Oryctolagus cuniculus: one gene and its partners. The protein of the gene in region 1 purifies or fractionates together with the protein of each later gene. This does not show direct contact. Links are inferred from orthologs where the notes say so. Each region holds a gene or a part of one and is shown in the gene's direction. Other genes may lie near its edges.

Region 1 (4,159 bases):
CCTCACTGGAGCTGGCACATCCTCCAGAAACCGTATTTGCTACAGAGTACTCACAATTATTCCACTCCATGTTAACTAAAAGACCAAAGGATTTGATTTATATTACATTCTTCTTAAAAAATAATTTTTCAAACCAACAAATTATCATAATTTAAGAGTCCAGTGTGACATTTTCAATACATATGTACATATGTACAACATGTAATGATCAGGCATACCTATCACCTCAGACTCACATACTTTTCTTGTGCTAGGAACATTCAAAATCCTCTTCAAATTCTGTTTCTAGCATACCATCTCCCAGATTTTAAAATACCTCGTCACACAGAAGGGGGGAACTCTGTTCCTCGTGTTCACCCTAGAGAGAAAGCAGCTAGGTGGCTATTTTGAAATATTCAATTAATTCTTGCCAATCAGAGTTATCCTGCCCAACTGCACCCCTGGACCCATTAGCTATCCTCTCTCCAACCCCCTAAAAATACATTTTATAAATGATAGTCTGTGCAGCCCCAAATAATCTTTTTTCCTAAAGTGTCATATTTCACAATTCTTGCTAATCTGTTTGAAAACAGCAAGGACAAAATGGTTTGAAATGGTTTGACCTATCAACCACTAAAGCTGAATCTAGAATAAAAGATCCAGGGTTCCTAGCTTAATTTTAAACCATCTACGTATCCCATCAGAAAACTGAAAAGGGCCAACAATGTGAGAGTATTTACCCATCTTAAAAGATCATTATACAGAATTTCGAAAGGTTTTCGCCTCAGAAGGACTCCTAGGTGAGATGGGTGGTCATTTCATATTGCCCATTTTTGTCGTGACCTCATCCAGGCTACAGTTTATTTGTGGACCCTTTCCTTGAGCAGTGTGGGGGAAGGGACCTGGTGTAAATCCTGAAGCCCCTTTCCCAACCCTTCACACACCTGATACGTGGGAAGAGAGTGAGGCAAAGAGGATCTCACACGGTATCACCCAGCCGTCTTCTCTACAGGATGGAATAGGGTGCAGGGTTTCTCTCTTCACGACTAGGTGTTTTAAAATCTGGGTGGGAGATGGCATGCTCTAAACCTAGAATTTAAAAAAAAAATAAGGGGACTTTTTTTTTAACGTCAAGGGTAGTCTTTTCACTGCTCTCGACAGCCTTTCCAGACCGCCAAACGAGACCAGGCTTTGCGTTCAGAGCGTGCCGTAGGATCCGCAGCCACGACCCCTCGGAGTGGTGGGGACCAGGCAGGCGGGGGAGTAGGAAAGCTTCATGGTGAAAAACGGGGAAGGCGTCAGGTCGGCCGCGATTGGCGCGTGCTGGCACCGGGAAGCGGGAGGAGGGCGAGCGAGAAGCAGGGCCTCGGACGTGATTGGTTGCGGCGGCATATTTGGCTTTCTCTGATTGGCTCCGAGTTGGGGACAGCGGCACAGCGGCAAAAAAACATGGAAGCTGCCAGTCAGTGAGCAAGTGCTGACCGTTCTGGGCTCGCTGCTGCGGAGGTGGGTCGGAGTCCTATTGTCACATACGCTTTGGCCATTGTCCGTTTGTATATTCCGCTTCCCAGCCGGGTGCGACCTAGGATTTTACTTTCCCTCGGCCTAGCCAAATTTTTTTTTTCTTACTTGAGACACCACAGCATTTCTGTTATTCTGTTGGGGATAAACGGAGACGCTAGGGTCTGAGAAGTAATCATGAGGAGAAATGCCTAAAAATCTTTACAAGTGAGGGGCGGGCGGGAGAAAAAACTCTCCGCCTGCGGGCGCCCAGATCTTTACCGACTGCCCGGCTTCCACCGAGACGACTCAGTGCTGTTCCCCTCTGGGGGGAGGCTCGGCCCCTCCCTGGAGGATCTCGGCAGTAGAGGGGGGTCGCGCCGCCCAGCCCTGCGCCCTAACGGCGGGGTCGCCTCCCAGACCCCGCGTGCTCTCCGCAGCTCCCCCTCCCAGGCGCACGGTCTCCGCCCGGCGCGGTCCCTACACCCCCCCTGCCCGCCCTCCGCGCGCCCCGGGGCCCTCCCCACCGCGGGTCCCAGGCCGCCCCCCTCCCGCCCCCGGGCGCGCGTCGGCGGGCGCGTGGGGGCCTCTGGTTCCGCGCGCTCCCGGGCGGAGACGCGGCGCGAGGGGCTCGGACGCGGCCCCCGGCCCGCGGGGGTGCCAGGTCAGCCTCCCGCCTCCGGCCCGGCAGTGCTGGGGACCGGTCTTGGGGCAGTAACAAGCAGATCCGCCTCTGGTCACAACCCCGGGTTTTCACGCAGGAGGCGTGAAGGCCGGCGACTCTCCTCAGCCACCATTCCCCGAGCATCTCTCCTCGGCCTTCCTGTCCCCTCAGACAGCAGCCGGGCTTCCCCCTGCAGCTTTCCACCCGTCGGTGTGAGAGAACGGCCCGCTTTTTTTTTTTTTTTCCTTCCCCCCTCCTCAGGGAGCTTCTCCGGCCGGGCTTCCCCTCGCCGTCAAGAAGGGAAGAAGGGAAGCCAGGCGGCCGCGACAGCCGAGCTCTCGCCATCTTGAGTGGAGGAGGAGCCGCGGCCGCCGCCATGCGGAGAGGCAGGGAAAGAGGGAGGGAGGGAGGCGGCGGCGGGCGGGCGAGGGAGGGGGCAGACAGCCGAGTTAGCTCAGCTCGGCGGCGACTTCGGCGGCGCCGAGAGAGCGGGCAGCGGCGGAGGTAGGCTGGGCGGCCCGGCAGCCGGCGGCGCGGGCTGCCGGCGGCGCGGCCCCGGGAGTGCGGCGGGGGCGGGGGCGGGGGCGGCCACAGCGAGGGGCCGGGTGGGGGCGGGCGGAGGTTTCCGAGGAGGAAGGAGCCGCCGCCATTTTGGGAGCTTCGAGTCAACAATAAAGGACCGAGGGTGCCGAGCGGGAGTGGCCTCGGTGGTAGGACTCGGGCCAGAGCCGCGGGGCGCGGGGGTGAGGCGGCGGGGTCGAGGTCGGCGGTGCCGTGGGGGCTTCAGGGAGCCCCTCGGGCCGGCGAGGGGTTCGCTCCGGGCGGAGGCCCAAGGCCTGGCCGGGCCTGGGGGAGGAAGGGCGGGCGGCAGCTGTGTGGGGTGGGGGCGCCTCAGAGGAGTCGAATATGGGAATGCAGTGCGCGGCGGGGTCAGGAGGAGGAGCGGGCCGAGTGCTCCGAGGAGTTTTGTGGAAGACGAGGGGCTGTGGGGACCCGAGGGGGCGGTAAGGGCTGGGGGGGAGATGATGTTGGAGGTTATGGGGTACGAGGCAGCCCTACAGGGGGCGGCACGGATCTGCCGTGTTGGAGGGCTCCGGCTGGAGGAGGACCGGCTGCTGCCTGATTGCAGTAGGCCTTGTAGGTCGATAAACAGAGGGTGTTGGTGGAGCCCCCGGGTCGCGGAGGGAAGGAGGGGCGTCCTAGGTTGTAGGGGTCTCTTCGGGCCCTTTATTGGAGCAGTCCCTATTGTTTGCTGCCGCGGAGCTGAGTTTTGGCCCTTGTTGCGCAGATAGGATTGCGGGGACCCAACCGTTTTGTTTTTGTGGTCTGAAGGAGCTGACTCGAAGTGTGAGACTGGGGGGAGGCAGGGGAAGAAATGAGTGCCATACAGTTGCGGGGCTCCCGACACTGGCTTGACTCCTTTTCCGCGATCCCCCGCTCCCTCTCTTCGGAATAAAACCCAGTCACTCCAACTTGCAGCCAGAGCTTGGAGAAACTGCGCTGCATTTGCAAACAAAAGCTCTCGTTGGAGATGACGGTACTGTTTTGGGTGTGAAACTGTCAATTGCTAACTACGATCTGGGAAGTGCTGTAATTAATTCCACCAGGGGCTCCTCCCAGATAGTCTACGTTTTGTCTTTTTTTTTTTTTTTTTTTCTTAACGTAGAACTATAACCTGCACATCTAAATTGGGAAGGGGTAGGAGGAATATTTCCTCTCTGAGACATAAAGCTGCAGTGCAGGTTTCAGTTTAAGAGGGGAGCAGTTAGCACATAGTCTTATTTTGGATTTAGGGAGATGCGCGGTGATGGGCAGTAATGAAGATACGGTTTCGTTTTTAAGAGATTGCCTTGTTCATCCTCCTAATGTTTTGCAAACAAATAAGTCTCCCTATATGAACTATGTGATACGGTTGATCATAATCTAAAGCTGTCAATACGGGAAAGGTTCATAACCTCCTCTAAGTGCTCTGATTCAGGAAGACTTTAAAAATAAACAGCTCTGTGTATGTGAGAA
Region 2 (4,068 bases), on another chromosome or scaffold:
CCCGGGGAGGCCGGGGCAGAGGGGCGCCCCCCACACGCGGGTGCCCCTCCCCGTGAGCGCAAGTCGGTTCCATGGGCAGCTGGCCTCGGGCAGGTGAGCCACCTCCCACACCGGCCCTCGCCGCACCACGGCCTTGACCTCGGCCGTCCTCGGCCTCCTCCTGCCCTCTGTCCAGCACCTTCTACGTCCAGCTGTGGGGCAGGGAGCGGTGGCCAGGAAGGATCTGACCCCTTTGGCAGGACACACGACAGGTGGGCCGAAAGACGAGCCGCTAACATGATCCCGAGCCAGGGACGGGGGCAGCTCGGTTTCAGGCCCTCGCGACCGGCAGCGTGACCGCGCGGCTTTATATAGCGCCCGCCGCCCTATATAAGCCGGAAGCGGGGTGCCCGAGGAAAGAGGCGGCTCGCTGCTCCGGCGCGCACCCACTGCCCCCCGCCCCCGGCATGCCCAGCAGGACGGCGCGCTACGCCCGCTACAGCCCCCGGCAGAGGCGCCGCCGGCTGCTGGCCGACCGCAGCGTGCGCTTCCCCAACGATGTCCTCTTCTTGGACCACATCCGCCAGGGCGACCTGGAGCAGGTGGGGCGCTTCCTCCGCGCCCGCAAGGTCTCGCTGGACACCATCCACCCGTCCGGTGAGCGCGCACCTGCCGGCCGCGGAGGGAGGGGAGCCCGCGGCCTCGGCCCTGGCCCTGGCCCTGGCCCTGACCGCCGGCCCTCGCCCTGCCCAGGCCTGGCCGCGCTGCACGAGGCCGTGCTCTGCGGGAACCTGGAGTGCGTGAAGCTGCTGGTCAAGTACGGCGCGGACATCCACCAGCGCGACGAGGCGGGCTGGACGCCGCTGCACATGGCCTGCAGCGACGGGTACCCCGAGATCGCCAGGTGAGGGGCGGCCGCGGGGAGCGCAGGGGCCCCGCGGCCTTCGGGGTGTCCGCGGCTCCCGACGGGTCGGGTTTCGGCGGAGCAGCGCCAGAGGGCGACGCCGGGGGCGAGCGGGCAGTGTCCGCGTGCGCGTGTCCGCGTGCACACGGCGCCCTCTGCCCCCAGGTACCTCATCTCCCTGGGGGCCGACCGCGACGCCGCCAACGACGACGGCGACCTGCCCTCCGACCTCATCGACCCGGACTTCAAGGACCTGGTGGAGCTCTTCCGAGAGACCAAGATGGACTGAGCCCGCCCCCGCCTCCAGGTGGATTTTTTATGGTGACACTTTGTACTTTTTCAATAAACGCGACTCCCGAGCCCGCAGCCTGGCCTCGTGACTGGGGGCCGGCCCGCGGGGGGTCGCCGTCCCCGCCGCGCGCGGTCACGTGGCCCCGCGCCGCGCATGCGCCGCCGGCCGTGGCGTCACTTCCGGCGGGGCCCCCCAGCTGGAAGAGGCGGCGGCGGCCGAGTCCGGGCGAGGTGAGGCGGGCGCGGCGCCGGGCGGCGGGGCGGGGCGGGCGAGTGGGCCCCGCGTCCGGCCCCGCCCCGCGCCCGGCCCCGCCCTGGGGTCGCCGCCGGGGCCGGGCGCGGCCGCCGCGAGGGGGAGTGACCGGGAGGCCGGGCCGGGTCGCGCCGTGCGGGCCGCGAGGGGCCCCCGGCGTGCAGGCGCGGACGTGGCGCCCGGCCCGGGGGCGGCCGGAGGGGTGCGGGCTGACCTGGCCGTGCCCTCGCGACCCCCTCCGCGCCGAGGCCCCGCCTGCCCCCACGCGACCGCGGCGTGGATGGCGGCGCTGCGGGGCCCCGGCCCGGCCCGGAAGCCGCCCGGCGTGGCTGCCCGTCAGAGGCGGCCCCGTCTGCCTTGCTCCCGGACCCCCGGCCATGAGTCGGGGGGTTTGGGCAGCGCAGGCGGGGACCGGGCCGGACCTGGAGTAGCCGCCCGCGTGCGGCCCCTGCTGTTTGGCCTCCAGGACAGCAGCGTCCTGGGGCACCCGGGTCAGCAGCTCGCGTCCAGGGTCTTGCTGGCCGAGGAGGGGCCAGAGCACGCAGGGGAAGTGGAGTCTAAGCAGGAGCCGCACAGGCGCCGGAGGGCCGGGCGCGGCCGGGGCTGTGTGCAGGGGCAGGGCCTCCGCAGGCGCCTTCTGCCCGGTCCTGGCCCGGCCCGGCCGCGGCAGTGCCCGACTGCTGGGAGGGGCAGGGGCGCGGGGTCCGCCCCCGGGTGCCAGCTGCCTCGCCCGCAGCGGGGGAGGGGTCTTCCTGGGCCCCGCGGGCGGAGCCTTCCTCGCTCCCCCCCCCCCCGTCTGGCTGTGCGGGGAGGAGCCCCCAGACTCCGGTGAGGTCGGGCCTCCTGTGTCCCCAGGGGCTTCTTCTCCTTGGATGGGGGTGCCGCACCCTAGGGATTCACAGGAGGAGGCGGGGCAGGGGCGCTGACCGCCGGCCACCGGGAGCTGTGGCCTGTGCGCCGGTGGTGGACAACAGCAGCCGTGGACCCCAGGGCTCTGTGCTGGGACCGAGGTGGGGGCGAGGCCGCAGGCCCAGAGGCGAGACGTCCCTGGGCCCAGGCCCCGATTCCGGCTCCCACTCGCATGCACCCTTGGAGGCCGCACTGCTGGCTCCGGGGACGCCTGGCCTCGGCCTGGCCGCCATGGGTGCGCAGGGAGTGACCAGCAGGTGGGCGCTCTCGCTGTCTGCCTCTCAGAAACCAAAACCTACGGGTGGGCCGGGGGCTTGGTGGCCGGAGGGCAGGAAGGGCGGGCGGCCAGGGTCCCCGGGAGGGTGTGAAGCAGGGGAGGGGCCGCTGCCCGAGGCGCCTCATCTCGCGCTGCACCCGGTCCAAGGGAGAGAACGCGCCCGGTTCAGAACCTCAGGCGCCGAGCTCCCCGCATCTGGCCGGTGTGGGCGGTGGCCCGGGGCGGTCACTGGCCGGACACGCTCTGTGCCCCCACTCACCGCCACCCAGGCTGCAGAGCGGCGGGCCAGCGTCCTGCCCACCCAGGGTTCCCTTCTCCCCAGCCACGCCTCAGGCCCCACACCCTCCGTGCCGGCCTCTGTAGGGACCCTGGCCTGGGGGACACTGAGGGCAGGACGTGGCTGGGAGCCAGGCAGCCAGAGGAGCTGGGGCTGGGTGGAGGGAGAGGCAGGCAGGCAGGGCGGGCGGGAGGCCCAGGAGGTGGGCGCCGGCCAGGCCCGCCCCGAGCACTGCCCTCCTGGTCACCTCCATCCGCTGTGCACCCCCGGGCAGCGGGCGGGAAGCAGAGTTCACCTGGTGAGCCAGCCGGGTGCTGCCACGGGCGCCGCCCCTTCCTGCCTGTGTGTGTGTGTGACAGCTGAGTGGGCCGTGGTGGGAGCCCCCTCCTTCAGCTGCAATGGGGCACCAGGTGGCCAGCGTGAGCCCAAAGCTGCTGACCTCACGAGGCGGCAAAGATGCCGGGGCCCAGAGCCCCCCCCCCAGGAGACCCCCAGGAGCCCCCAGCACCCTGGTCTGAGTCCACTTTCAGGACACTCCGGGCTCGGGCCCCGCCGCAGGGGCCCTCACCCTCAGGAGGCCGCAGGCGCGGTGTGCCTGGGCTGAGCCAGGTCCACCGGGACCTCGGAGGGGGCCCTGAACCTCAGGGGCAGCTGGCAGGGTGCCCTGGGGCCACACGGCCTGGTCGCAGCTCCGCGGGAGGAGGCAGGTGTGCCCGTGCCCTCCCCACTGCTGCCCAGGGCCGTGCCCGCCCCATTCCCGGCTCTGGGGCTCCTGTTTCAGAGGCCGAGGGATCTGGCAGCGGAAGGCCAGGACCAGACGCCCCGCGATGAGCAGGTGGGTCGTGGGCAGCCGGGGCAGGGTGGCCCCCGCCCTGCCCGGCGCCCGGCCCGGCCCTCACGCGCCGGGGCCCCCCAGTTCCCCTGTCTCCAGAGTCGTGTACAACGGCAGGAGGAACAGCAGCCCCCGCTCGCCCTCCAACAGCAGCGAGATCTTCACCCCCGCCCACGAGGAGAATGTGCGCTTCATCTACGAGGGTGGGTGCGCTGCCCCCACCCGCCTGGGAGCCCCGTGCTGGGCGGGGGCGGGGAGGCGGCGGGATCCGGGCGGCCACGGCCGCCCTGACGGTGCTCGCTCGGCTGCAGCCTGGCAGGGCGTGGAGAGAGACCTGCGGAGCCGG
Region 3 (4,100 bases), on another chromosome or scaffold:
ATACAAGGGAAAAAAACCTAAATTCAGTTTCAGTTGTGCCTCTTGCAGTTTGTACCTAGTGAGTATATTACCTATTTTAAAATACATATCTATAGTACAGAGGTTTTTGTTGTTAATGGATTGAAGGCAGGTGGAGGGGAATAAAGCTGCTACTTCCAGCCACTGGGAAGAGAAAGGCAATTGTGGTGTGGAGGGGGAAAAAATCTCAAGATACAGGGCAGGAGTCCCTGGGTTCTAATACCAGATCCCCGCTGACTGGTGTGGAATTCCGAACCAGTGCCTTCTCCTCCCTGGCTTCAATTAAATCATCTTCCTACCTCACTGTAAAATGAACCAAAGCCCTTACCTTTCTTCCCTGATGAACTCCTGCTCATCCCTGGAGCACTGAGCCCAATGTCACCTCCTCCATGAAGCCTTTCTAGATTCTCCCTGGCCAGAGTTAGTAGCTCCATCCTCTGGGTATCAAAGAGCAACGTCTCTTAACATCATCCCTGTTTCCTTAGATTGTCCTACTTCTTTCCCTTTCTCAGGGAGCCAGGGAGATGTCTTAAACAAGACTTGGAAGCTCCAAACGGCCCCTTTTTCACAATTAGGAGTTCCATAAACACCTGTACAACAAAAGTTAAATGAGTGGTGTTTTGTTTTGTTTTGTTTTGCTTTGTTTTGTTTTTGCCAGCATTGGTACATGCTGCAGACATGAGTGCTATTTTTATGAGGAGAACATGTTTTCCCTTCAAAACATTTCAATTCTGTTGGGGTGTCCCATCAATTAAAAAAAAAAAAAACTTGCTTTTTGAAGTGTGGGGGGAGCTAAAGCTCCCTACAGTTTTCACTTGTTTTACTCTTTAGCTACTACCTGATTCCTTAAAACGCTCAGTACATGTTCGCCAAAAGGAGTGACCTATTTAAAATTTTATAAGGTTCCAAACGAGTTCGAATCCCCACGGGCTCCTCCCAGGGCTGACTGAAAATATGCACGCGGGATCCAGGCGAAGGAAACGCCACTCCTGTGGAGCTCCAAGAAGGTTCTCGAATTCTCCTTTCGGAAACCATCAGTGACGACATCAGTGAGGGTCATTTAAGGCCCCCCTGCCCCACGCTTCTCCGTGCCTTCTAAACGGCCCGCAGAGCCTTTTCCACAGCAGGGTTTCCTTTCTGTAATCCCAGGGAGCGTCGCTCGCCAGCCTCTCCTGGCAGCCGTCACCTCCCTCACCTGGACAGCGCAGCCTGAGGGCAGGAAACGCTTCCAGCCAGCCCCATCGCGCAGCCGCGCACGCCGCCCCCGACGGCTCGGGCGGATGGGACCTGCCGACGCCGGAACTCGACGTCCGGGGCATGCGCGCGGCGGAGCTAAATGGCTGCTGTACCACCCCGCTGTCAGACTCCTCAGAGAGGCGGAAGTTGAGAGGGCTGACGCAGCTGGGGGAACTTTTCCTCGATGGCACTTTCCTGTCCGCGACTCCGCCCCCACCGGAGGGGCTCGGCTCCAGGATTCAAGATGGAGTCGCTGAGTCGAGCTGGGCAGGAGATGAGTCTGGCGGCCCTGAAGCAGCACGACCCCTACATCACCAGCATCGCAGACCTCACGGGCCAGGTCGCTCTGTACACCTTCTGTCCCAAGGCTAACCAGTGGGTGAGTGATGCGCGACCGCTGAGGACTCCGTCCTGGCCGCCGCCACCTCTTAAAGGGGCCGCGCGGGCTGCCTGGTGTGGGGGGCGAAGCTGGAGGCCAGGGCGGCGGAGGTGAGGTCGCGGAGTGGCGAAGAGGCGGGTGGGAAGCTGAGGGATGTCGGGGGTGTCCGGGATTCGGGCAGAGGAACAGGAGAAGTGGGCCTGAGACATCCCAGGGAAAAGCTGACAGAGGGGACGATTGGACCAGGATCAGTCCCTTGGGCTCGGGTCTGAGGACGTGGGCGACCTGCCTCCTTCTTCTGTGCACTGGAGGATGTGAGACCAGTGGGGTCAGATGGGCCCTGAAAGCTTGTTTCCTGATTAGAGGATTATTGGATAAATTACATATGTATATATGATCTGCAAGATTAGCACCCCTCCCCCCCACCCCCGCCACCCAGCGGACAGAAACGAGAGCCCCCTTAGCAGAGGTCATTTGGATTTAAAACTTGAAATCCAATTAGTCTGAATTCTTGGGAGGGAGGGCGTGGGATGAGTCCAGGTTTAATCGAACTCGTACCTGTATTTCCGGAGTTTTGGAAAAGATCGTAAGGCACTTAGGAGGGGGGCTGCTGTGTTAATTGGATTCCCTGGAGACCTTTTCCAGGAAAAAGACCGGTGATGTCACCTCTGAACACTCCCAGCGGACTGAATACTTTGGCTTTCGGGCACCAGAGGGAGTCTGAAAAGTTACTTTCTCTCTGTTCACCAGCTCTTGCTAGTCCCTGCCTGAAGTACTTTTAGTTGTTAAAATAACAGTTTCCTGGTTGCGGACCCTCCCTGGTTCACTCATTCAGCCATAAGCTGTACACCTAGAATTTACTAAGTAAACGCTTGCTGCGTTGAATTCGTCAGTGACTGGCACAGACATTCAGTGAGCGTGAAAGTTTTCAACAAAACTGTGGAGGATTGTCATACTGTGTCCCTTACTATACAGATGCATAGGTTATATTTGTCAGTAATTATATGAAAATCATCTGGCATTTACCAACAGTTAATTCACATGGAGAGAATTTTCATGATCTTTTTCTTACCACCTGGAAGACAGGAAGCATGAGAAGTCACAGAGAATGAAAATATAGAGTGTTTTTAAGTGTAGCTATTTTAGACATTGCCTTAGTTTGAAATGTTTTCAGTCGTTTCTCTTGGTTTGTGAAATATAGATTGCCAACAAATGGGGAAGAATGGGACTGTAATTTGTGCCTAAAAAGTTCTTATTTCTAGTTGTTGATACATTTTGAATATTTTAGAATTTTAAACTAAAATTCTTGTTTATATATGAGATGTAAACAGTTTACAAAAAAAGTTCATGGAAAATACATATTCTGGAAAAAAATGCTTGGAATTCAGAATTTTTTGTGCCGAAATAATTTTAATTTCATTTTCCACAAGCTTTTTTGCCATACCCTAGTACAATTGAAAAATAAACTGCTGTTTTTATGTATTGAAGCACGGCTCATAGAGCATAACCACATCTTTTTCTGTTCTGTGTTTTTTGGGGGACAAATTTTCTTTGAGACATTTGATCACCAGTTATTTAATACTAATAACATTTTGAAGGCAAGAAAAAGCTTCTGAATTCTTAGGAAGGAAGATTGATGATTATATTTAAGCTAAGGTAATACTGGAAGATATTGAGATTTTTTACATGTATAAATTATCCCAAATAATTTGGTTTGATATGTCTAACATGTAAAGTTTTAACATGTTCTTCATTGCATTAAAATAGTTAGGTCCAGCAAGTGGTGAACTGCAGACATTGCAACATTGTTTCTTTGTTTGAAATTTAAATACACTCTGGCAGAACAAATGAAAGGTAATACTGAGTTGTACTCTTGATCAAGGTCACTTTAAAATATTTTTTGCATTACTTGTAAGATAAAATAATTATTTAAGGCAGAGTATAATTTCAGTATTCATGATTCTTTAGCAAAGTTCTAAAAAATAATTACCTAATTGTGTTGATAGTAATTCTTAACCACAAGGTGTGCTACTCATGAAAATATACCAAAATGTTCCAGTGATAAAACAAGGGATCCTCTAAGAAAATTTCCATTTTTTTTATGTTAAGTTTGATAAACTTTAAAAAGTTAAGAAATTGTTGCCCACAGGACTTTGTCATTAAAATTAAGAAATCTGGCCAAAACATTTTCTTTAAAAAGTGAAAGCTAGTTCTGTGATTTTCTCTTTCACTGATTATAAAAGAAAAATGCTACAGATAAAGACAGGTTGCTGGGTTAAAGTCTGTATGTGCCTATGTCTGCATCAGCAGCATTGAAAGGATGCATAGGAAATTGGTAACCGAAATTTGTGCCATTAGAGGGAGACTTAACTTTCCCTGTTCAAAGGTGGTTAATTTTACAGTAAATAAAACAAGTTACTCATAAACATGAAGTAGTTCTCCTTAGGGAGTGTTTGGAGTTGGATTA
Region 4 (4,246 bases), on another chromosome or scaffold:
GGCATGGAGGCTGCCCCAGCCTGGGGAACGAGCCACGGCAGCGGCCCCCTCCTCAGCCGTCCCCAGTGTCCTCCACTACGGCGGACATCAAGGCGTGGGCGGCAGGCCCGGCATCCCTGGACCTGGGCGCCGCGTGTGTGCTTACAACTGCCCTGCTGGGCGTTTGCACCGCGGCCGCACCCCAGGAGCCAGGTGGGCACTGGGAGGCCCCGAGATCAGGCCCTCAGGTTCCTGGGAGAAGAAAGCGCCCCCAGCCCAACACGGAGGCTGCTGGCCCTGCCGGCACCTGGGACCCCCGCCCGAGTGGGCTCCCGGGGAGGGAAGGCTGCCCCGCGTGCGTCGGGGGTCTCCTCGCGGCTGGGCCGTGTCTGTCCTCCCCAGCACACCCCCAGGAGCACACAGTCCCACAGTGGCTGAGGCCTGCTACCTTCTCTTCTGCTTCCTGGGGCTGGTTTTGGCCAGCTGCCCCGGTTCCAGTTCCGGTTCCGGTTCCGGTGGGGCCACAGCGGCAGGTGTGAGGTGACCGCCCGGTTAATGTTTCGCGCCCTGAGCAAGTTCAGTCAACACAGACACGTGAAACCAACGATCCACAGAGCAGCTCCGACTCGCTGTACCCTGTCTCCCTGCGCTTTGTCCAGGGCCGGCCCTGCCCCTCCCCGGGACACTCGGCGGCCCCGAGGCGGGGACAGGGTGGGCAAGGGCCCTGGGGCATCCCGTGTCCAGCGCCCGGTTTCAAACCTGGCTTTGCTCGGGACCCACCTCCCTGCTGGGAGGCAGAGGCCAGGGCTCCGGCCCCCGGGCCCCCGCTGGCCGCGCGTGGGCCCCGCACGAGGCCCGGACAAGCTGTTTAGGGGTTTGGGGAGTGACGCGGCCGACGGAAGAGCTCTCTCCGCCTTACAAATAAGTTTTTTCTTTCGTTTTGATTTGTTTTGCCTTTTTTCCTTTTTCTTTTCTTCGAATGTTTTTTTAACTTGAGACGAAGCTCAGCACGCGCACGCCCACATGCATGGGAGCGCGAGGCGGGGGTCGCGCGGGGGGCGACCGGGCCGAGCCGCTCGGGGCTCTCTTCAGGGCGTCGGCAGCCGGCAGGTCCCGGGCGCGAGGGCCGGACCAGAGGCGACCGCGCAGCGCGCTCGCAGGGCCGCCAGCTCGCTGCCCGCCACCCCGCAGGGCAGCGCGGGCCGGACAGGCCGAAGCCCCGCCCCCTGCGCACTCGCGCCCCGCCCACCTCGCCCACGGCGGCTCACAGCGCGCGGGGCCCGCCGGGAGCCGGCGGCGAGGGGGCGGGGCGCCGGGCAGCTCCGCCCCCGGCCGGCAGCGCCGAGCTGCGCAGGCGCAGCTCGCGGGCCCGCCCCGCGGACGGCGGCGCGGCCATATTTAAAGGGCGGCGGGCGCGGCAAGCCAATGGGCGGCGCGCGTGCGGGGGCGGCGCGTGGCGGTTCGGGGCCCCGGATGTGGCTGCGGCGGCCGCTCCTCCCCCGCGTTCCTCTCAGAGACCGGCTGCGCGCCCCGGCCTCGCTCGCTCGGTGCCCGCGCAGGCCCCTCGGGCGGAGGCCAGGAGGCGCCCCGGCGGCGCAGGAGCGGGCGGCCCGGAGGCCGCGCGGCAGCGGAGCGGGCGGCCCGGCGCTCGGCCCCCCGCGGCCGCCATGAGCGGCTCCTCGGGCACCCCGTACCTGGGTAGCAAGATCAGCCTCATCTCCAAGGCGCAGATCCGCTACGAGGGCATCCTCTACACCATCGACACCGACAACTCCACCGTGGCGCTCGCCAAAGGTAGCGGCCCGCGCGCCCAACCGCCCGCGCCCCGCCCCCACGCCCACCCCCGGGCGCCCACCCGGCCGGGGCCCGCGCCCCGCCCCCACCTCGCCCGCCCGCGGTCCGCGGGGCGCCCCCCCACCCGCGCCGGGCCTCCCCGCCCCCGCGGCGCGTCGCCCCGGGCACAATGGTCTCCCTCCGCCGCGACGGCGCGTGATTGTGCGCGGACGCCCGCTCGCGCGGAGCCGCCCCTCGGCAGGTGCTGGGTCCCGGGCGGCCCCGCGTCGTCCTCACCTGCCGGGGGGCGGGGCAGCCCGAAGGCTGGGCGGGGTGGCGGCGCGGAGAAAATGCGGGTCTGCGCGTCTGGGACCCGGAGCGGGTCGTCGCGCGGGAGCCGGGCGCTCCTAGGGAGCCTCCCGCCGGCCGGGGCGCCCCGGTCACAGCCGTCCCCGCCGCGGGCTCTGTGTCTGAGCTGTGCTCGGCGAGGGTCCCCCGGCTCTCTTTGTCTGCGTCCTGCAGGGGGGCTGGGGAGAGGGCTGCGTGCGCGCGGGGTCCCCAGAACCCTGCGCTCAGGACGCGGTCGTCCCGACTCCTGGGAGGGGCTCCGGGACCGCTGGCGCGCCTGGCGCTTGGCTCGCTGGGACACGGGGGCCGCAGGTGCAGGCTGCTTGGATGCGGGTTCGGACTGGAAGCCCTGGGGAGGGGTGGGGGCTCCCGGAAGCCCGGTGCCCGCAGGTTACTCTCGCAGGGACGTTTGTGGAACTCCTTGTAGACAAGCTGGTGTGGGGTCCGAGCCGGACCCCTCCTGTGGGTGGAGCGGCGTGGGGGCGTGTCCCAGGGCAGCTCCCTGCTCCGGGCCCCTGCCGCCGGATGTCCTCCCCTCACCTGCCAGCCAGGTGGTTTCTTCGCAAAGAGCTGTGTTCGCCCAGAGCGCCCGGCACGGGCGTGCGTGCACCTGCGAATGGAGGCGCGGGACGCGGCCAGGGAAGCAGCCCGCCCAGAAGTTCCCGGGCTGGTGCCTGGGGTGCCACCCCCTGCGCAGCGGACGCGGTGCTGTAGGGTGGGCCGCGTTCGGGGCCGGCGGCCCGCGGGAGGACACAAGTAACGCTGCTTTCTCTCAACCCAAGTGCGGTCGTTTGGTACCGAAGATCGCCCCACAGACCGGCCTGCACCCCCGAGAGAGGAGATCTACGAGTACATCATCTTCCGGGGCAGCGACATCAAGGACATCACGGTGTGTGAGCCGCCGAAGGCCCAGCACGCTCTGCCTCAGGACCCCGCCATCGTCCAGGTCGGTGTGCGCCGCCCCAGCCGCTGGGTGTGTGCGAGGGCTGGCTGCGGAGAGCCGCTCAGGAGGGGCTCGGCTCCCGCCGCCTGCTCCTGGGGAAGGAGGCTGGAGGGGGGCGTGCGGCCGTGCCCTCGTGGCCTGCTGTGAGCCGGGAGATGCGCCCGCGGGCCGCCCTGCTGGGTGTGGCTGTCTCGCCTGGGATTTTTAGGGAGCCCTGTGGCTCGTGTTTGCTCGTGGCTGGCCCGAGTCCTCCTTAGCTCCCTTGGGGGTCAGACCACCCCAGGCTCGGGGAGGACGTGGGGGCCTGCGTCAGACCTGGGGAAGTGCCGGGTTCCCAGTGTGCGGGGCGGGAAGCGATGCCTCCCGGGACTCCCCCAGCCTGGAGCCAGGGCTGGGCCGCTCCGCTTCCTGTCCAGCTTCCTGCTGAGCCTGGGAGACAGCGCTTGGGTCACTGCCACACACCTGGGAGGCCCAGGCTCCTGACTTGAGCAGGGCTCAGCCCTGTCGTGGGCGTCTGGGGAGTGAACCAGTAGATGGAGATCTGTCTCCCTGGTCTCTCTCTCTGCGTGTCAAGTAGATGGAAACGAAACGTCAGAGGAAGGACTGGGCTGCCAGGAGGCAGCTGTCTCCCCGAGGCTGGGCGCCGGAGAGAAGGCAGACGCGGAGCTGCTCCGTGCCTCCCCAGCCGCAGCCGGGCTGTGCCCGTGCGCGGGGCCAGGCGCTCCCTGACTGCAGTGGCACCGTGGCTGCTGCTGCACTTGTGTGGACAGGGAGAGAAGCAGAACTCGCAGGTGCTGGCCCAGCTGCCACGTGCCTGCCGTGGCCGGGAACAGAGCACAAAGCCTTAGTCTGAAAGCCCAGGTCCCCGTGCGGTGGCCGGAACCCAGGGAACCTGAGGGTCACCACAGACCCCCATCCGCGTTCGCAGGAGCCGGAGAGCTGCAGCTGGAATCTTTTTTTTTTTTTTTTTTTAAGATTTATTTGAGAGGCAGAGTTACAGATGGGGGGGTGGAGTCTTCCATCTCCTGGTTCACTCCCCAAATGACCGAAACAGCTGGAGCTGGGCCGATCTGAAGCCAGGAGCCAGGAGCTTCTTCTGGGTTTCCCACACAGGTGCAGGGGCCCAAGCACTCGGGCATCTTCTACTGCTTTCCCAGGCCACAGCAGGGAGCTGGGTGGGAAGTGGGGTGGGCAGGACACAAA
Region 5 (3,990 bases), on another chromosome or scaffold:
TGTGCTACCTGTGTCCAGAACAGCCAGCCTCCGTTGTACTCAGAGGCAGGCCCCATTGGGTTGGAGTAGAGATACGGAGCTATGGAAGACAATCTGAGTGTGAGGGTCTCATGCTCTCACCCCTCAGACCTCTGCAGGGAGTTTCCAGGCCTCCTCCTAGTCCCTCCTGATCTTACACACACACACACACACACACACACACTCCACATCGTCTTCAAATTCCAGAAGTCTTAACTATTAGGGCAATTTCTGCTTCTCAGTTTTGGGGACAGAGGCCTTGCCCAGTGCAAATGTAGCCTTGAGACCTCTGAATGGTATAAACCTAAGGGCAAAATAGCAACTGCAGGCCGGAACCCAACCTAGGATTTGGGCTAATGCCCTGAAAGGGTCTTAGGCTCAGTGAGGGCACCATAGCCAAGCTTGACCTGCGAATGGATACCCTTCATCTCCACTGTGGGTGGAAGCTAAGGACTCCCTCAGATGCCACAGTTTGCCTGGCTGCACTGGGCACAGGGCTGGATAATGTGCTGTCTGCGGAGACAGCGTATCTGGGAGATTTCAGTGGGACTGGATCTCTAAGCTGCCGTGTATGTGGGGGTGGGGGAGAGGTAGAAGCTTGCTACCTCTTAAACCACCCTGTATAAAATCTGCAATACAGCTTCTTCCATGTACCTGTGCCTGAATTGTCTGCAATAAAGAGGTGTTTGTAAACTGTGGTTTCTTTCTTCCTCCTTGAGTGCCAGCTGGGACCAGGGCCGGCTTGGGGACACAGGAATGATTGTGATCATTGTTAGTGGGGTTGTCACCCATGTCTTTGTAGTTCCTGAGCTTTATGGCTTTGCAGGTCCCCTCAGACTAGACTATCCCCACCCATTTCCCAAAGGCAACTAAGGCTCCTGCCAGTTCAGCGAATTCCTGAGAGACTGAGGGACCACAGCCTGGGCGGCCAACATGTAGGATCTCTGTTGTAGGATCGTCATCAGTTACATTTTCGGAGTGAGCATAGACCAGGCGAGATTCCTGAAACGAGTAGGTTTAGGGTGTCCCAGTACGTGGACATTCACCCTGTGGAACTTCCCTGACCCTACCGGCACAGAGACTGCTGTGAGCCCAGGCAAGCTCCGGAAAGCCGAGGTATTCGTCACCAGCCCGGAACCTTTGTTCTCTAGTTCTTTCAGGTTCCGGGAGCGGAGCTTCGCGGGGGCCGGAAGTGGAGGCGGTTGGTGGGGTTGGTGGAGCTGAGGACGCAGCGCGGGCGGCAGTTTGCTAGCTGCGGGTGGACGGAGTAGTGACCTGCGTCCGGGTGTCTGGCCCCTGCGAGGCTGGGCGAGACTGGGCTGTGCGCGGCCGCGGTGGAACGAACGTCGTGCGGGTGGGGCGCCCGCGGCTGGGCCCATGGCCTCCTGCGCGAGCATCGACATCGAGGACGCCACGCAGCACCTGCGGGACATCCTCAAGCTGGACCGGCCCGCGGCGGGTGAGCGGGGATAGCGGGTGTGGGCCCTCAGCGAACAAGCAAAAGGGATGCGTGGGTCTGAACCGCTCTTAGGGCCCGCAAGTCCCTAAGGACTACGTCTGTATTCTCCCGACCGGTGAGGGCGTATGGGAGTCGGAGCCTTGGATCCCTGAGCTTACCCCGCGGTAGGCGCAGACCCCTGAGTGTGACTCTCCCCATCCCCGCGCCAGGCCATTCTTCACCTTCAGCGTTTCGGCTGAAGGTGAAGTCCCCCTCTCTGAATCCACTGGACGCCTCTGGTTTCCTGGCCTCAAGATCTGTTCCTGGAGCTGTCTCAGTGCTCTTCCTCTTTGACACGGGTTCAGCACCTGCAGGGCTCCCGCTCTGTATACCGAGTTCTGGACCTGGATTTAAGCGTTGTGCTGGAGGGATGCTGGTCCCCCTCTGCACCTTGCCTTTCCCTCTGGAATGCAGAACCCAGGCCTGTTGGGAAACTGAGTTCCAGAAGAAAGGTGGCCAGCCCCAGGTCCCATCTGTCTGAGTTGGAGGCAGCTGCGCTGATCGGGTTAGGCTATAGCATCCACAAGCTCTAATGTGTTCCCATTCATTCAGATTTTACTCGGGCTCTTAGTGAATCTCAGAACTGCTTTTGACCTCAAAGAGCCTTCAGGACACAGAGAGCTAAGGATTGTGATCTAATGTTGTCGTGGAAAGAGAAGTGTTTTGATGCTTTGGTGGGAATAGGTTTGAATGGGAGCTGGAGATTGCAGAGCACAGCACTGACAGAGGAGATTGTGTAAGCTGGGTCTTGAGTGTCAGGAAACGCACCCAAGACAACTACATAGAAACCTCCTATTTATTGCAAAAAGGAAATAGCCCATGTGAAGGCACTCAAGTTCTCTGACAGGCTCAGGGATCTGTAAAAAGCTGTGATGGTTCAAGGATTGACTGGTGATGGTGGGGTGGGTGTGCAGTGGCCTCAGCTGAGAACTGATGTTTCCTCAGACCTAGTTCTTCCACCTGCTGGAAGGTTCCGCCCGACCGCTTCAGGCACCGATGCTCACTCTGAGTGGATTTAGCTTACCCAGACTGCCTGTGAAAATCTACCTGCTCTCTTAGACCACTGGGCTCTTTGCCCCAAGCCTGGAGTGTGTGCACCCCTTCTTGGGAGCTTGGCTTGGGGCGTTCGTGCTAATGGGCTGCTGAGCAGACTAGACTCCGCAGAGGTTCAGTAGAGCCTGGCATGGCCAACTGTGTGCAGCCTGGGCCTGCTGTTTGCTTATCCTCATGGTAGGCTGCATGGAAGGGAGAGTGGCCGGCTTATGCCTGAGCAGCTAAGGTGGCTCGCATTGATTTGCACTTCGTTTCACTGTTGGAAGCTCTTGATTGTCTCCTCTTGTTGTAGGACCTCAACCTGTTTTGTGACTGGAAACTTGCCACATTCCTAAATGTGGAGCCATAGTTTCCTTGCCACTTGGAAATTTAAGCAATAATGTCTGAGCCTATGAGAGTGTTTGAGACCCAGCTGATGCCAACAACTGAACTGCTGTCTCCCCTGACTCCACACCCACCTCACTGTTTCTCTTCTCTGTATCTAGCTCCTTCGAGTCTGTTCCTTCTGCCTTTCCTGCCTGAGGTAGCCTCTTCTGAGCTTTTTCTGTGTGGGCAGGGCCTCTTCCTTTCATATCCCCACATCCGATCAGTGTCCTTCTCTGCCTTGGGTACTCATCTCCTCTCCAAACCCTGCCACTATCTTGGTCTAGGCCCTGTTGTCAGTAAATTCTCAACTGTTTTGTATGCTTCCTTAGAGCAGTCAGCCCACTGGCAACAGCTGACCCTGCCACTTTCCCCTTTAAAACTCTTTTGTGGCTCTCATAGCTCACAGGGAGAGTCTGGGTACCCCAACATCATACTTGAGGCCTCTGCAGCCTTGTTTCTCCTCTGTCCTCCTCATGTTTGTGTTCTGGCCACAGTGGCTATGGTGGTGCCTTCTCTGTGAAGTCTTTCCTAACTCTTGCCATTCCCTTCCTCAAGTACACAGAGTTCGATGTGCTAATTGGCCTCAGAGGGTCCTTGAAGATTTGTTCACTTCCTGCAGGTAGAAGAGCCTCACGCTCAGCCTTGTCCTGGTATACATTAGTTTATTGGACAAGAGATGAACAAAGGGCTCTCTTTCCCATGAAAATGCCTTGCTTTGGATCTGGCGTTGTGGCATAGCAGGTACAGCCATTGCCTGCAATGCCAGCAGCTCATGTGGGCGCTGGTTTGAGTCCTTGCTGCTCTACTTTTGATCCAGGTCCATGTTAACACACCTGGGAAAGCAGCAGAAGGTGGCCCAAGTAGTGGGCCCCTGCACCTACATTGGAGACCTGGAAGAAGCTCCTGGCACCTGGCTTTGGCCTGGCTCAGCCCTGGCCATTGTAGCCATTTGGAGAGTCAAGCAGCAGATGGAAGATCTCTCTCTAGCTCTCCCTCTCTCTCTGTAACGCTGACTTTCAAATAAATAAAATCTTAAAAGATAGAGAAACAAAAAT
Region 6 (3,127 bases), on another chromosome or scaffold:
TCTAATGCGAGTTAACTACGGAATGCCCCTGAAGGGACAGCCGGTGCTTCCTGTTTTTGTGGAATCCACAATCTCACTTAACTCTGACCATCCAGGTCACTTTAACATCTGGTGACGTGTTTGATCTTTGGCTGTTAGGCAAGATGACTGGGGGACATGAAGGCAGGAAGAGGTGGAACCAGAGTTTAGAACTTTGTGTGCTGTCACCAGAGCTGTGCTCTTAAAGGCGAACCAAGAAGCAGTGAGTTTGTCGTAGAGCTCAGTAGCAGTGCTGTGGTAGTGCCACTCTGCTCAGCCTTCAGGTCTGTGAGCTGGGAGAAGGCTCCTGAGCCACCTCTGTGCCCTTGCTCTCCAGGGTGGGGAGTTTCCAGAACTTGATGCTGTGTGGAGAGATGTTCTGCCTACAAAGTCCTCTTTTAGGGCTGTGGCTGACGTTGGCATTCGTGTTGGCTGTCCTTAGCAGTGAAGGTGATGTGGAAGGGTGATATTTGCACCCTTTGACTCCATCTGTATTGGAGGTCACCCTAAAGAAAAGCTGATTCTCAGGTAGTTCACACACATAAAATGTTTGCTGTAGCCTTTAATATAACAAGACTTGGAATTTAAGTAACTTAGGGCAAATTAAATGAAAATGTCAGAAAATACTGACCTGGCTTTGTAGGTTTGGTATATTTATTGCACTTTTCCTACTGATAGCATGCTATTTTCGTTAGTTTTGGTTTGTGTACTTTCCCTCACCGTATCATTTAATCCCACGAGGACTGAAACCAGTTTGAGAGGACAGATGCTTCTGTCTCCTCTTTGACATGCTTAAGATATTCACATGTCGACAGTTCAGATGTGGCCACCAGCAAATGTCCTGTCCTTGATGCTAACCACTGCCTCTCCTGGTTCCCAGGCACCCCAGCCTGCTGTCCACGTGCAGGGGCAAGAGCCCCTGACTGCCTCCATGCTGGCTGCAGCACCCCCCCAGGAACAGAAACAGATGCTGGGTGAGTGCCCATGTGCCTGCAGAAGAGGGTGGCTGACCCAGACAGCAGTGTCCTCTCTACTGGGAAGCGATTTGGTTCTTCATGAGCTGTCCCACCCACAGGAGAACGATTGTTCCCGCTCATCCAAACGATGCACTCAAACCTGGCGGGCAAGATCACGGGAATGCTGCTGGAGATCGACAACTCGGAGCTGCTGCACATGCTGGAGTCCCCCGAGTCTCTCCGCTCCAAGGTGAGTGGTCCTCAGACCCCACAGCTTCAGCTCCCAGCTAGATCACAGTGCCCTTGGACGCTCAGGTGCAGCCGGGGGTGGGGGGTGGGGTTGTCCTCCTGCCTTGCCTGTGATGGGGAAAGCATCCAGCACCAGAAATCCAAGGGCTATTTCCACACTGGGCTGTGTTCCACCCCTGGGCTCAGACACTGGGGAGGGGTGACATGGCTCTCCTCAGCCTCACTGACCACCTGGAGGTTTCTCACAGGTGGATGAAGCTGTGGCAGTTTTACAAGCTCATCATGCCAAGAAAGAAGCTGCCCAGAAGGTGGGCGCTGTTGCTGCTGCTACCTCTTAGACATGGAAAAACCGTATGTTGGCTATTTCATTTTTCCGCAGTGGTTTTTGGTTTTGAACGTCTTACTAAAAGAAGAGGGGCAGTATATAGAACGCCATTTCTGTCACCCAGCCTGATAACTTGTGCAGGTCATTGCTGAGCCTTTTCTGTTATCTAGATGAGTTAATATGGAGGAAGGAGTACAGGGCTGTGAATTTAAAAAAGAGTTCCTGGTCCAATCTTCCTCCCAAATCACCTTGTTGATCCGAAATAATGATGGGTCTACAAGGAGTTCTCTTAATCAGGACATAAAGTCTCATTCTGTGAGTATCATCTTCCTGGTTTGTTCAGAGGTTGGCTTCCAGAGAGAGGCTTTGTCATCGAGGATCAGGACCTAGAGGGAGAGATACACATGCCTGACTATAGTTACATGTGACTGTTCCACTTGACCACTCACCATAAGGTTGTGGACTTTGTCTGTAGCAGGCTTGGTGAGATGAGCAGAGGCAAGGTAAGGAAGAGTGCGTGGAATGGCCAGAGCTGGAGTGTTAGTAGGATTGATTGGGCATAGGTGTGCACCAACGGCCCGAGGAGCCCTCACCTAATGAGTAGAGGGAAGCAGTGCACAGGACATGGCCCAGAGTCAGGTGGCCCCAAATGTCTGTAGTGCTGAGGGTGGGAAACTCTGATCTAGTATTTTCTTACTAGCGAGATTTTAATGAAATCTCTGAAATTATTTTATGTATTTGTGTTGGTGCTTTTCTTTTCAGGATTCAAAAGCCAAATAACCCCTCGTGGAGTTCAGCTCAAGGTTTGAAGACTTCGTAGCTTGTCCTATGGACCTCAACACCAAGAACCACAAATTGCAAATTTAATAGGTCATTTTGTATCAAAAGGTCAATTAATGAAGCACCTAGAATTTTTCAATTATATGACTATATTCTCTGGGTTCTGCTTTGGCCCAGACAGTGTGAACTTTTTTTTCTATTGTGGGTTTTGATTTTCTTTTTTCCCCCTTCCCTGGAAATTGGTTTTATTTGATGTACCCAAGTCTTATGTTTCTCAATAAAGAAAAATCTCCATAAAACTGCCTCCATCTTACCACAGTTTTATTCTATAAATTCCAGTCTTCACTAGAAGTAATTTCTGGATGTGACTAGATTGGAGCGAGCTCCTGTCTCCTGTTTACAAGTGGATGACCAGGTGTGCAGCCCTGTTGACTATGGCCCTGTCCCTTTGCACAGTATTGTGGTAGGTTCCATCAGTGAGTATTGGCCCCGTGGAATGTGCAGAGGACAGAGGTCTGAAGAATCACAATCTGGCTCAGGGAAGTGTGGAGTAGAGGCAGCTGGCACATGGCCCAAGGACAGGCAGTAAGGTCTGCAGAACTGGGCTGATGAGCTGTCCCCCTTCCCTTGTACTGTGCTGGTTAGGGTCTGTCTAGCAGTTGCCGAGATTCTGTAAGCAAGCTTTCCTGTGCGGGGAAGTGTTCGGGGATCTGTGACTGCAGCACACAGGCACTGTATCAGTCCTCAGTGTGACAAGGTCCTGCCCTCCAGCCATGCTTCCTTCTCGTTCCTTGAGCCC
Region 7 (3,500 bases), on another chromosome or scaffold:
CTCCATGCCATCAAGACCCACTTCTCACACTTCAGATTTCAACTCGAATTCTGGTTCAGACCAAAGAGTAGTTAATGGAGGCAAGTATTTTGACCATATTTGTCAATGTCATTGGTCACATACATACATAGTTTTCTAATTACTTAAAACAGTTTATATCACTGATAAGACAGTGTACACTCTTAATGATTTTTATGGGGTAGTTTTTATTTCAAAATTACTTGAAATATGCTTTTGTGGATATCAGACTAGTAAAACATAGTATGAATCATTTGTAGATTCAGTATTTAGTGTGAGGAAGTCTCATGTACTGAAAGAGTGCTAATTTTACACTTGATCTTAGCCAAAAGGCCGAGAAGCGATGAAAGAGTGCTAATTTTAGCCCAAATATCATTGCTTGGCCAAAAAAGACTCCACATATAAATTGGATACATTGCGTAGGTTCTTGATTTTTAAGACACTGATGAACAATAAAATTACATAGGTGCATTTTATATGGAAAATTATAATCTACGTGAAACATTCAATGGTTAATATGGATTCATTTTCCTTATTTATGTTGTGCTTACTGTAAGAGAGGATTTGAGGTACTTTGTAATACGAGGCATGACCCAGAATCAGGTGAAGAAGGTGATGAGAGAAAATGTGCTTAACACAACAGAAACAACTCTCAGTGTGAGGGTGGTTGTTGTAGGTCAGCGACAATAAGTCAGAGAAGTGGGAGACATTTTCTACTCTGCCTCTAAGTCTGGGTTACAGATTATATATATATTATAATTATTGTAACCTATATCATTGCACTGTGGATCTTTGATGCACAGAGGGATGCTGAACCGCAGCACTGAGGATAGTGTGGTGATCAGTGAGAGCTCGAGTGTCTTAACCTAGGAAGGCTGGGCACTTGCTGCAGCATCTCAGTTTAGAACTGTAGAGAGAAACAGAGCACTAGGTCTCCAGTTTCACTTGTTTTCTTTGTATCTTTTCTCCAGAACTCCTCTCCAAATGAACACTCTTGAGTATTTTTTGTACTTAGTTTTGGGGCTGAAATTTATTTGCTTACTGATAAAGATTTTTTAGGTGTTTATAAACAGAATTTTCAGAGTAAAAAACCTGAGGGGGCTGGGAAATTTATGATACTCAAGTGTGTGGAACTCTGTGGAGAGGAGGCCTGGACCCTCGGCTGTGGTGAAGGTAAGTGACGTGACTGTTGGCATGGTAACTGTGTGTGGGCCTGTGCAAGTCCCCCAGTGCCAGTTCACTCAGCAGCGACTGCTTTGTATTTTGGTTGTGTGTTAAGCAGTCTCTCAGAGAAATGTTCACTGCATAAGTGATGACTTTGAAGGTCTCCCCTTTTCTAGTCTGAGATTAAAGTAATTTTTTCAAAGAGCAGTGAATATAGGTCTTTGTTAATCCTGTGACTCTAGAAAATAGTAGAAGTAATGCTTTTATCTCTACTTAAATGGAAGCTGCTTAGAGAGATTTCAGACAACCTTAGATTCAAGGGTAAACCCAGTGAGAGTCGTATGTAATTGTAAGGAGCTGTGTTTTCAATTTGATACAGTAGATGCTGCTTATTTTCACTGCTTCAGAGCTAAAACTAATCTAGTAAATACTCTTATTTCTGAGTAGGAATTACTGTGTTTCGTTGTGTGAAATTATCTAGTGTATGTTATATCCTTTTCATAGTTAATTACTGAGACTCAGTTACAGAAGCAGGATAATAGGCACAGTCTTACCTGTCTTCAATAGTATGTGTAGATCCTGATTAACCCTTTGGGAACGTGTATTCATTTAAACAGATTTAATTCTAAGGAGGTTAAAGTAAAATGTGAATTGATGTCGGTTAAGTTATGCTAAAACTTAGCACAATTCAAATGACTGTCCTCAAAGGGTTAAAATGTACAAGAAATCATTTTTGTCATTTTACTTTTTTTTCTGTTTACTTTTTTCCCTCATTTTTTTCTTTAGTTTTTATACTTTCCTTCATATCATTTGTTCTGTCAGGTGTTCCCTGGCCATCGCCTTGCCCATCTCCTTCCTCTCGCCCACCTTCTCGCTACCAGTCAGGTCCCAACTCTCTTCCACCTCGGGCAGCCACCCCTACACGGCCGCCCTCCAGGCCCCCCTCGCGGCCATCCAGACCCCCGTCTCACCCCTCTGCTCATGGTTCTCCAGCTCCTGTCTCTACTATGCCTAAACGCATGTCTTCAGAAGGTACAATACCACAATTTGTTCATGTTTTTGTTTGTCTTTGTTTAACTCCTATGTGAGTTTATAATTACAGAAGTTTCCTCTTTCATTATTTAATAACCTATAATTTCCGTGTTTTAACTTTAGTTTATTAAAACTATTTCTATTAACCTTTTGTTCATTAGAGAGAAATTTGATAAATGCTGTGTGAAGCTATGAATTATGCTGAATTGTGAGAAAGGGGCTTTCTCTTTCTACCTGCGAAAGATGTTCCCTCACAGCCCCAGAGAGCGCTGCCCAGGGCCTTCTGCCTCCTGGCTTTCCTTGGGTGTAGTGGGTAACGGTAAAGAATGAACTTTGTTCACATAGGCCTGGCTGATTGTACAGCCTCTCATGTAACAGCCTTTTGGCCAGAATACTGGGGGATATTCCTGTGGGTCTGAAGCAGGAGTCAGTTTTGGGGGTGACATTCCATGTACCTGCCTCTTTGTATGTCTACCCTTAGATTATAATACAGTTTGTTTTTTAGGATGCTTGAAAGGTATTCTAAATTTAATTGAGTAATTTTTCAAAAGAAAAAGCTTTGTAATAATATTATGAGTGAAAGGCTGCTTTAATCTGGTAGAAGTTCTTGATCTAACATAAAATTATTGATTAAAAATATGAATTTGAATACTGAAGTATGTTTTTGACCCTTGTCAAAATCTGCCTTTGCTACGTGTTATAGAAAGATAACATTTTAATGTAAAAGCAGTGCATAAATTAAGAATCTGTGTGTTTTGAATGATAATGTTCTTTCGATATGAGTTGACAGTATTTGTGTTAAAAATCTGACTTTAACTTATTCCTTAAAATCATAATTAATACAGCTTATGTTGGGACTAATAAAGTTTCCTATATAACCTGCTTCCCTGGAAATATATATGTTGGCTGCTTTTGAATAAATGACTGCCATCCAGGCAGGCAGGGAAGTCATGTGACCTTGACTGAAGTTTCTAACTGTGAACAGCAAGATTTGCTGAGTTTTCGTGGTGAATTCCATACTCAAAAGGTCATGGAATAATGGTCACTAAATGCAAAGTCAGATTCTCTTGAGGTTCATACTGCAGCTTGTCATTTGAACAAGTGAGACTTGTATTGTGAGAACAGGTTGGATAAAACGTGCTTGTTAATGAGTGTGGACAATTTGTTTACACTGAGATATGAGGACTGTGTTGAACTGAGTATTCATACAGAAGTAATACTTTCTGCATTATTCATAAATGCTGAATGTCTATTGTTGAAAATTATCATTTGTAACATTAACACCC

The links.
Region 2: the proteins of DDX6 (region 1) and MCRIP1 purify together in Homo sapiens (affinity purification with mass spectrometry; 3 studies listed by BioGRID and IntAct, with this or other methods). This does not show direct contact. The link is inferred for Oryctolagus cuniculus from reciprocal best matches to the Homo sapiens genes DDX6 and MCRIP1.
Region 3: the proteins of DDX6 (region 1) and DCP1A purify together in Homo sapiens (affinity purification with mass spectrometry; 8 studies listed by BioGRID and IntAct, counting the BioPlex papers as one, with this or other methods). This does not show direct contact. The link is inferred for Oryctolagus cuniculus from reciprocal best matches to the Homo sapiens genes DDX6 and DCP1A.
Region 4: the proteins of DDX6 (region 1) and LSM14B purify together in Homo sapiens (affinity purification with mass spectrometry; 4 studies listed by BioGRID and IntAct, counting the BioPlex papers as one, with this or other methods). This does not show direct contact. The link is inferred for Oryctolagus cuniculus from reciprocal best matches to the Homo sapiens genes DDX6 and LSM14B.
Region 5: the proteins of DDX6 (region 1) and EDC4 purify together in Homo sapiens (affinity purification with mass spectrometry; 4 studies listed by BioGRID and IntAct, counting the BioPlex papers as one, with this or other methods). This does not show direct contact. The link is inferred for Oryctolagus cuniculus from reciprocal best matches to the Homo sapiens genes DDX6 and EDC4.
Region 6: the proteins of DDX6 (region 1) and PABPC4 purify together in Homo sapiens (affinity purification with mass spectrometry; 3 studies listed by BioGRID and IntAct, with this or other methods). This does not show direct contact. The link is inferred for Oryctolagus cuniculus from reciprocal best matches to the Homo sapiens genes DDX6 and PABPC4.
Region 7: the proteins of DDX6 (region 1) and ATXN2 purify together in Homo sapiens (affinity purification with mass spectrometry; 6 studies listed by BioGRID and IntAct, counting the BioPlex papers as one, with this or other methods). This does not show direct contact. The link is inferred for Oryctolagus cuniculus from reciprocal best matches to the Homo sapiens genes DDX6 and ATXN2.

What each region holds. Positions count from the first base shown.
Region 1 is NC_091432.1:111,456,376-111,460,534, forward strand, and holds the start of DDX6 (probable ATP-dependent RNA helicase DDX6), read left to right. Parts: upstream 1-1,359; 5' UTR 1,360-1,485; intron 1,486-2,057; exon of another isoform or gene 2,058-2,529; intron 2,530-2,548; exon of another isoform or gene 2,549-2,647; intron 2,648-2,725; exon of another isoform or gene 2,726-3,147; intron 3,148-4,159.
Region 2 is NC_091448.1:1,048,568-1,052,635, forward strand, and holds the start of MCRIP1 (mapk-regulated corepressor-interacting protein 1), read left to right. Parts: upstream 1-1,268; 5' UTR 1,269-1,328; coding exon 1,329-1,405; intron 1,406-3,671; coding exon 3,672-3,725; intron 3,726-3,806; coding exon 3,807-3,925; intron 3,926-4,033; coding exon 4,034-4,068. Other genes in the region: PPP1R27 (protein phosphatase 1 regulatory subunit 27), read left to right, coding at 447-636, 733-883, 1,049-1,172. UniProt on the Homo sapiens protein: The phosphorylation status of MCRIP1 functions as a molecular switch to regulate epithelial-mesenchymal transition. Unphosphorylated MCRIP1 binds to and inhibits the transcriptional corepressor CTBP(s).
Region 3 is NC_091441.1:96,494,738-96,498,837, forward strand, and holds the start of DCP1A (mRNA-decapping enzyme 1A), read left to right. Parts: upstream 1-1,300; 5' UTR 1,301-1,438; coding exon 1,439-1,633; intron 1,634-4,100. UniProt on the Homo sapiens protein: Necessary for the degradation of mRNAs, both in normal mRNA turnover and in nonsense-mediated mRNA decay. Removes the 7-methyl guanine cap structure from mRNA molecules, yielding a 5'-phosphorylated mRNA fragment and 7m-GDP.
Region 4 is NC_091442.1:1,236,296-1,240,541, reverse strand, and holds the start of LSM14B (protein LSM14 homolog B), read left to right. Parts: upstream 1-1,446; 5' UTR 1,447-1,646; coding exon 1,647-1,773; intron 1,774-2,882; coding exon 2,883-3,046; intron 3,047-4,246. UniProt on the Homo sapiens protein: mRNA-binding protein essential for female fertility, oocyte meiotic maturation and the assembly of MARDO (mitochondria-associated ribonucleoprotein domain), a membraneless compartment that stores maternal mRNAs in oocytes.
Region 5 is NC_091449.1:51,116,081-51,120,070, forward strand, and holds the start of EDC4 (enhancer of mRNA-decapping protein 4), read left to right. Parts: upstream 1-1,190; 5' UTR 1,191-1,395; coding exon 1,396-1,477; intron 1,478-3,990. UniProt on the Homo sapiens protein: In the process of mRNA degradation, seems to play a role in mRNA decapping. Component of a complex containing DCP2 and DCP1A which functions in decapping of ARE-containing mRNAs. Promotes complex formation between DCP1A and DCP2.
Region 6 is NC_091438.1:133,302,616-133,305,742, forward strand, and holds the end of PABPC4 (polyadenylate-binding protein 4), read left to right. Parts: intron 1-898; coding exon 899-992; intron 993-1,093; coding exon 1,094-1,224; intron 1,225-1,471; coding exon 1,472-1,561; 3' UTR 1,562-1,574; intron 1,575-2,310; coding exon of another isoform or gene 2,311-2,328; 3' UTR 2,329-2,627; downstream 2,628-3,127.
Region 7 is NC_091452.1:8,929,688-8,933,187, reverse strand, and holds part of ATXN2 (ataxin-2), read left to right. Parts: coding exon 1-80; intron 81-2,004; coding exon 2,005-2,214; intron 2,215-3,500. UniProt on the Homo sapiens protein: Involved in EGFR trafficking, acting as negative regulator of endocytic EGFR internalization at the plasma membrane.